Linked DNA regions of Nothobranchius furzeri. The protein of the gene in region 1 interacts with the protein of each later gene in a pairwise test. Links are inferred from orthologs where the notes say so. Each region holds a gene or a part of one and is shown in the gene's direction. Other genes may lie near its edges. The genes, in order: myosin-7 and mybpc3.

The links.
Region 2: the proteins of myosin-7 (region 1) and mybpc3 interact in a two-hybrid assay, tested with the Homo sapiens proteins (2 studies listed by IntAct). The link is inferred for Nothobranchius furzeri from reciprocal best matches to the Homo sapiens genes MYH7 and MYBPC3.

What each region holds. Positions count from the first base shown.
Region 1 is NC_091751.1:59,252,632-59,256,448, forward strand, and holds part of myosin-7, read left to right. Parts: coding exon 1-225; intron 226-302; coding exon 303-545; intron 546-634; coding exon 635-811; intron 812-891; coding exon 892-1,037; intron 1,038-1,109; coding exon 1,110-1,200; intron 1,201-1,286; coding exon 1,287-1,676; intron 1,677-1,781; coding exon 1,782-1,908; intron 1,909-1,987; coding exon 1,988-2,106; intron 2,107-2,184; coding exon 2,185-2,381; intron 2,382-2,460; coding exon 2,461-2,644; intron 2,645-2,724; coding exon 2,725-2,890; intron 2,891-2,959; coding exon 2,960-3,084; intron 3,085-3,175; coding exon 3,176-3,484; intron 3,485-3,817. UniProt on the Homo sapiens protein: Myosins are actin-based motor molecules with ATPase activity essential for muscle contraction. Forms regular bipolar thick filaments that, together with actin thin filaments, constitute the fundamental contractile unit of skeletal and cardiac muscle.
Region 2 is NC_091749.1:64,024,588-64,028,404, forward strand, and holds part of mybpc3 (myosin-binding protein C, cardiac-type), read left to right. Parts: intron 1-25; coding exon 26-174; intron 175-872; coding exon 873-990; intron 991-1,077; coding exon 1,078-1,126; intron 1,127-3,817. UniProt on the Homo sapiens protein: Thick filament-associated protein located in the crossbridge region of vertebrate striated muscle a bands. In vitro it binds MHC, F-actin and native thin filaments, and modifies the activity of actin-activated myosin ATPase.

The sequences.
Region 1 (3,817 bases):
CGAGCCTTCATGGGGGTCAAGAATTGGCCCTGGATGAAGATGTACTTCAAAATCAAACCTCTGCTGAAATCAGCAGAGACCGAGAAGGAGATGGCCAACATGAAGGAAGAATTCACCAAACTGAAGGAGGCTTATGCAAAGTCTGAAGCTCGTAGGAAGGAACTAGAGGAGAAAATGGTCTCTCTTCTCCAAGAGAAGAACGACCTGCAGCTCCAAGTCCAGACTGTACGTTATAGCAGATTATTGTTCACATCAAAATCATCTCATTGTATGATAACAACACTCCACGTAATAAATTATAGGAGCAAGATAATCTCTCTGATGCTGAAGAGCGTTGTGAGGGTCTGATCAAGAGCAAGATTCAGCTGGAAGCAAAAATCAAAGAGCTGACTGAAAGGCTGGAGGACGAAGAGGAGATGAATGCTGAGCTGACTGGAAAGAAGAGGAAGCTGGAGGATGAGTGCTCTGAGTTAAAGAAGGATATTGATGACTTAGAGCTCACTCTGGCAAAAGTAGAGAAAGAGAAGCATGCCACTGAGAACAAGGTACTAAAGACATGCGCTACTTTACTGAAATTAGTGACGATTTTCTGATTATTCTATGAAAACCTAATAAAAGTCGTTCCTGGCTACAGGTCAAGAACCTGACAGAGGAGATGGCTGCTTTGGATGAAATCATTGCCAAGCTGACCAAGGAAAAGAAAGCCTTACAGGAAGCTCATCAGCAAACGCTGGATGACCTGCAGAGTGAGGAAGACAAAGTCAACACTCTGACCAAGGCCAAGGCCAAGCTGGAGCAGCAAGTGGACGATGTGAGAGTTTACACAATTAAGTGGACTAAAAACTATTTAGTTAAGTTAATCAAATTCTCTTCTTTAACAACTCTCTGCAGCTTGAAGGGTCCTTAGAGCAAGAAAAGAAAATCCGTATGGACCTGGAGAGAGCAAAGCGGAAGCTTGAAGGAGACTTGAAGCTGGCCCAAGAAAGTATCATGGACCTGGAGAATGACAAGCAGCAGCTTGAAGAGAGGCTGAAGAAGTAAGAAGTCCTAATTAAAGAATGCTAGATTTAGAAAATACCTTTTATATTTTTGACTCATTTCATCTTTAGGAAAGATTTTGAAATAAGTCAGCTGAACGGGAAAATAGAGGATGAACAAGTTATGAGTGCCCAACTCCAGAAGAAACTGAAGGAGCTGCAGGTCAAAATTCACACAAAAAACTTCAAAATGACGTTAAAAATTATTAGGATAATGAAGATTATAAAAGTAGCTTGTGTTTGTTCTAGGCCCGTATAGAAGAGCTGGAGGAAGAGCTGGAGGCAGAGCGAGCTGCTCGAGCCAAGGTGGAGAAGCAGAGAGCAGACCTGGCCAGAGAGCTGGAGGAGATCAGTGAGAGGCTGGAGGAGGCTGGAGGAGCCACAGCCGCCCAGATCGAGATGAACAAGAAGAGGGAGGCTGAGCTCCAGAAGCTGCGCAGAGACCTTGAAGAGGCCACGCTGCAGCATGAAGCCACCACCGCTACACTCAGGAAGAAACAAGCTGACAGCGTTGCTGACCTGGGAGAGCAGATCGACAACCTGCAGAGAGTCAAGCAGAAACTGGAGAAGGAGAAGAGCGAGCTCAAACTGGAACTTGATGACGTGGTCTCCAACATGGAGCAGATTGTCAAGACTAAGGTACGTATGGTGAATGGTGCTTTACTGGAAGTTGGCTGATGATGAATACTTTATTGTTGTTGAAGATGAGTTAACACTGGGAATGTGTGTGTTCTTTTTTCCTAGAACCACCTGGAGAAAATGTGTAGGTCTCTGGAGGACCAGTTAAACGAATATAAAACAAAGGCAGACGAGGGACAGCGAACCATCAATGACTTCACCACGCAGAAGGCTAAGCTCCAAACTGAAAACGGTACTCTCATTATTACAAAACTTCAACATTTAATTTGTAGCAATAAGGAAACTTAAAAAAAACGTCCTGCTTCTATCAGGTGAACTGACAAGAATTTTGGAGGAAAAGGATTCCCTGCTTTCCCAACTCACCCGAGGAAAACAGTCCTACACACAACAAATTGAAGATCTCAAAAGACAACTGGAGGAAGAAATCAAGGTAGAAATAAATTGAGACTCTATCAAATACAAAATGCAAGCTGATTCAAGCAAATTAAGACAACTGCTTTCATTCCAGGCCAAGAACGCATTAGCCCATGCTGTGCAGTCTGCTCGTCATGACTGTGACCTCCTCAGGGAGCAGTACGAGGAGGAGCAGGAGGCCAAGGCTGAACTGCAGCGCGGCATGTCCAAGGCCAACTCTGAGGTGGCTCAGTGGAGAACCAAGTATGAAACTGATGCCATCCAGAGGACCGAGGAACTGGAGGAAGCAAAGTGAGGAAAGGAGTACTTAACCAGAGTAACTCAGACACATTAGCAGCGTTTAACCCTGGAAACCACTTCTGTTACTCAGGAAGAAGCTGGCTCAGCGTCTGCAGGAGGCCGAGGAGGCCGTTGAAGCAGTGAATGCTAAATGTTCCTCTCTGGAGAAGACCAAACACAGGCTGCAGAATGAGATCGAAGATCTCATGGTGGATGTGGAGAGGTCCAACGCTGCTGCTGCTGCTCTGGACAAGAAGCAAAGAAACTTTGACAAGGTTTGCATTCTGTGACCCTTGGTTACTTTGACCACATCTAAAGAATACATGATCTATATAAAACATACATCGTCTTTCAGGTTCTGGCAGAGTGGAAGCAGAAGTACGAAGAGTCTCAATCAGAGCTGGAGAGCTCCCAGAAGGAAGCCAGATCTCTGAGCACGGAGCTCTTCAAACTTAAAAACTCCTATGAAGAGTCTCTTGAGCATCTGGAGACCATGAAGAGAGAGAACAAGAACTTACAAGGTCAGTCAGTGAACGGTCAGAACTTTACGACAAAGAACGATTCCTAGAATGTCAACATTTTTCTCTTAGAGGAAATATCTGACCTGACTGAACAAATTGGTGAGGGAGGAAAGAACATTCATGAGCTTGAGAAGATTCGAAAGCAGCTGGAACAAGAGAAGTCTGAGATTCAAACTGCTCTGGAAGAAGCAGAGGTAGGATTCAAACAACACCTAGCTCTTGAATTCCAAAACACTCAATCAGGTGATGATTCCTAACACTGGATCTGTGTTTTCTCTCCTCGAGGCCTCACTAGAGCACGAGGAAGGGAAGATTCTCAGAGTCCAGCTTGAGCTGAACCAAATAAAGGCTGACTTCGAGCGTAAGCTGGCTGAGAAGGAGGAAGAAATGGAGCAAAATAAGAGAAACCAACAAAGAGCTGTGGACACTCTTCAGAGCTCTCTGGAGGCTGAAACTCGAAGCAGGAACGAAGCTCTCCGCTTGAAGAAGAAGATGGAGGGAGACCTGAATGAGATGGAGATCCAGCTGAGCCAAGCCAACAGGCAGGCGGCCGAGGCTCAGAAACAACTCAAGGCTGTTCACGCTCATCTCAAGGTTTGAACTTTATTCAAAGATTTCTTTAATCATTCCGTCAAACTTAATGCAGCTCAGTATTCAAAATAGAAAGCAAACTTTAGTATTTTCATTGTATTTTGATACATATTTCCATTTCATATGTTAGGATAGCCAAATGTCTGAGAGCGAATGCAAGCAGACACGAGTTTGTAAGGGTTAGCAACATTTTAGCATTTTTCATTCAAAATAAATCAAAAACCAAAACCATGTGGATCAGACTGCAATACACAAAAAAGCTGACTGAAGTCAACAGCAACCAATGTTTTGCCATTATTGTGAACTGTGTCGCCCCCCAACATATGTATTTGCCTC
Region 2 (3,817 bases), on another chromosome or scaffold:
CCGTATAACAACGCGTTCTTTTCAGGCGAAAACATCACATTTGTTGCTAAAGTCAACGCTGAATCGCTGCTGAAGAAACCGAGCATCAAATGGTTCAAAGGAAAGTGGATGGACCTCTCCAGCAAGTGTGGGAAACATCTGCAGCTAAAAGAGACTTTTGATCGCAACACAAAGGTACGCCAACACCAAACAGCTAAATACGGGCAAAAGGCTCAATGCTATCCATCTGCTTGGACTTTACTAAAGTGAGGGCCAAAGTATTATAAATGACAACCATATTTTCGAAGTCTTGAGAGTCTCTCCTACTCACCTGCACACAATCATGGTTCATCATAAGTCGTGTTCCACATAAATATTTTAATGAGTACTTGGACAGGATGCAGCACGGTAAGAGCCACATAGATCAACAACGGTCATCATCGGGCCAAAAAACTGAGTTTGTTTTTTATTTGGGCTGCATGTTGGTGCAGTTGGTAGCACTATTGCCTTGCAGTGAGAAGGTTGCAGGTTCAAAACTGGAGCCTTTCTTTATGTTCTCCTAACGCATGTGTGGGTTTTCTCTGGGTGCCAAAGACATGCATGCTATTGGAAACTCTAAATTGTCCCTCAGTGTACTTGTGATGGACTGGAGACCTGTCCAGAATGTCCCCTGGCTCTCAGCCGAGGACTGCTGCACCAGCTTCCCAAGATCTGAGCAAGGAAAACCAGTTCAGAAATGAAGTTATGAGGTTTTTTTTTTTTTGGTAAGTGGTATGAAAGCCTCAAAACATGTACTGAAACCAGCCACTTGGGGGCTTTTTTTTTGCTTAAACTTCCACAATACCTATCTGTCTCCTGAGTGGAGAGTGCCTCTTTGTCTTTTGTGGCTGCAGGTGTACACCTTTGAGATGCAGATCATTTCTGCTCAAGCCAACTTTGCCGGAGGTTACAGATGTGAGGTTTCGTCCAAGGACAAGTTTGACAGCTGCAATTTTGATTTGACTGTCCACGGTGGGTGTTAGCTATGATGCTAGTGGACCTGTCACCTTGCTGATTGTGTTGCACAAAGACTCACTTGCTGTCTGCTGTGCCTTTCAGAGGCCCGCGCTCCTGAAGGTTTGGACATAAGAGCAGCTTTTAGGCGCACGTAAGTATTTAAAGGGAAATGAAGTTAAATTAATCTACAACTGTTATTGTTATCTTGAAAATACTTGATGGTTAAAACTTTGATTTGAGTATTTTTTTATTGCAAATGTAGCTTTTCTGACTTAATGCATGAAGCAGTTTAGTTATTTTGGGTTAGTCTACTTTTTAATGAGCAATGTCATACAGTACACAGTAACCAAAACACGAACAAACTGTCATGTTATTTGTGTCTAAAATTCCATCCATCCATCCATTTTCATCCGCTTATCCGGAGTCGGGTCGTGGGGGCAGTAGACTAAGGCGAGAGGCCCAGACTTGCCTCTCCCCAGCCACTTGGGCCAGCTCCTCCGGGGAAATCCCAAGGCGTTCCCTGGCCAGGTGAGAGACATAGTCCCTCCACCGTGTCCTGGGTCTACCTTTAGGTCTCCTGCCGGTTGGACGTGCCCGGAAAGCCTCACCACGGAGGCGTCCAGGAGGCATCCTGACCAGATGCCCGAGCCACCTCAACTGGCTTCTCTCGATGTGGAGGAGCAGCGGGTCTACTCAGAGCCCCTCCCGGATGGCTGAGCTTCTCACCTTATCTCTAAGGGAGAGCCCAGCCACTCCTCGGAGAAAACTCATTTCGGCGGCTTGTATCCGCGATCTCGTTCTTTTGGTCACTACCCAAAGCTCATGACCATAAGTGAAGGTGGGAACATAGATCGACCGGTAAATCGAGAGCTTCGCCTTCTGACTCAGCTCTCTTCACCACGACAGACCGGTATAACGCCCGCATCACTGCAGATGCAGCACCAATCCGCCTATCAATCTCACGCTCCAGCTTTCCCTCACTCGTGAACAAGACCCCAAGATACTTAAACTCTTCCACTTGGGGCAGGACCTCATCCCTGACCCGGAGAAGGCATTCTACCCTTTTCTGAATCAAGACCATGGTCTCAGATTTAGAGGAGCTGATTCTCATACCAGCTGCTTCACACTCGGCTGCGAACCGCTCCAGCGAAAGCTGAAGATCACGTTCTGATGAAGCCAACAGGACCACGTCATGTGCAAAAAGCAGAGAGCTAATCCTCAGGCCACCAAAACGGATGCCCTCCACACCTTGGCTGCACCTAGAAATCCTGTCCATAAAGGTCATGAACAGAATCGGTGACAAAGGGCAGCCTTGACGGATTCCAACTCTCACTGGGAATGAGCCCGACATACTGCCAGCAATGTGGACCAAGCTCTGACACCGGTCATACAGGGACCTAACAGCCCATATCAGAGGGCCTGGTACCCCATACTCCCGGAGTACCCCCCACAGGGCCTCCCGATGGACGCGTCAAACGCCTTCTCCAAATCCACAAAACACATGTAGACTGGTTGGGCAAATTCCTACGCACCATCCAGGATCCCCCTAAGGGTACAGAGCTGGTCCAGTGCTCCACGGCCAGGACGAAAACCACATTGCTCTTCCTGAATCTGAGGTTCAACAATCCGATGGACCCTCCTCTCCAGAACCCTTGAATAGCCCTTACCAGGAAGGCTCAGGAGTGTGATCCCCCTTTATTTGGAACACACCCTGCAGTCCCCCTTTTTAAATAAGGGAACCACCACCCCGGTCTGCCAGTCCAGTGGGACTGCCCCCGATGTCCACGATATTGCAGAGCAGCGTCAGCCAACACAGCCCCACAACATCCAGAGCCTTAAGGAACTCCGGTCGGATATCATCCACCCCAGGAGCCTTGCCACAGAGGAGCTTTTTAACCACCTCAGTGACCTCAGTACCATAGATTTGAGAGGCCAATCCAAAGTTCCCAGACTCTGCTTCCTCACTGGAAGATGTGTTGGTGGGATTGAGGAGGTCTTTGAAGTATTCTGCCCACCGATCCACAACATTCTGAGTAGAGGTCAGCAGCACACCGTCCCCACTATAGATAGTCTTGGTAGCGCACTGCTTTCCCCCCCGAAGCGCCGGATGGTGGACCAGAATCTCCTCGAAGCCGTACAGGAGCCTTGCTCCATGGTCTCACCGAACTCCTCCCATGCCCGGGTTTTTGCCTTGGCGACCTTCCGAGCCGCGCTCCGCTTGGACTGCCGGTACCACATTTCTGTGTTTATTCCTTGTATTTGACTCTCAAACCTTTGCTGTTGTTTGTAAAGGTCATCACATGATGCCAAATCACACTAAGTTCACGTTTGCTCGTGATGTGAAGCGAAGCGGCGGCATGTGAAACAATCAGAAAATAACTACCTTCATTCCAGAGGGGAGATCCTTTCAAACCAAGGTGGTTCAATACAGGTCCTTTAAATTGAATTTTAGAGTGGGAACAGAAGCAACGTAGAATGAGATCTACACTTTCACAGGAACGGTTTTAGGTGCAAAATATTATTAAATATTTCACTTTGCTGATAGTTGATAAAAAAAAGTTTGTTTGGAGAAATCTGATATTTAGTAGAGTAAAACGTGCTTATTTATGATTAGTAGTAGTAATAGGTTGTAGTCCTTTTATTATAATTATTATTCTCTCGTGGCCCTTTTTCGTCCCCCTGCACTTGAGCCAAAACAAATCCGGTGTTTTGGGTTTTGCAGCCGAGTCTGGAGACGGATCACATGAGGAGAACTCAAGAAATCTAAACACAATCATTGAAATAGCTGGAACTGTGTTGATCTTTGACTATCTACATGCTAATTAGCACACGCTGGCATGCA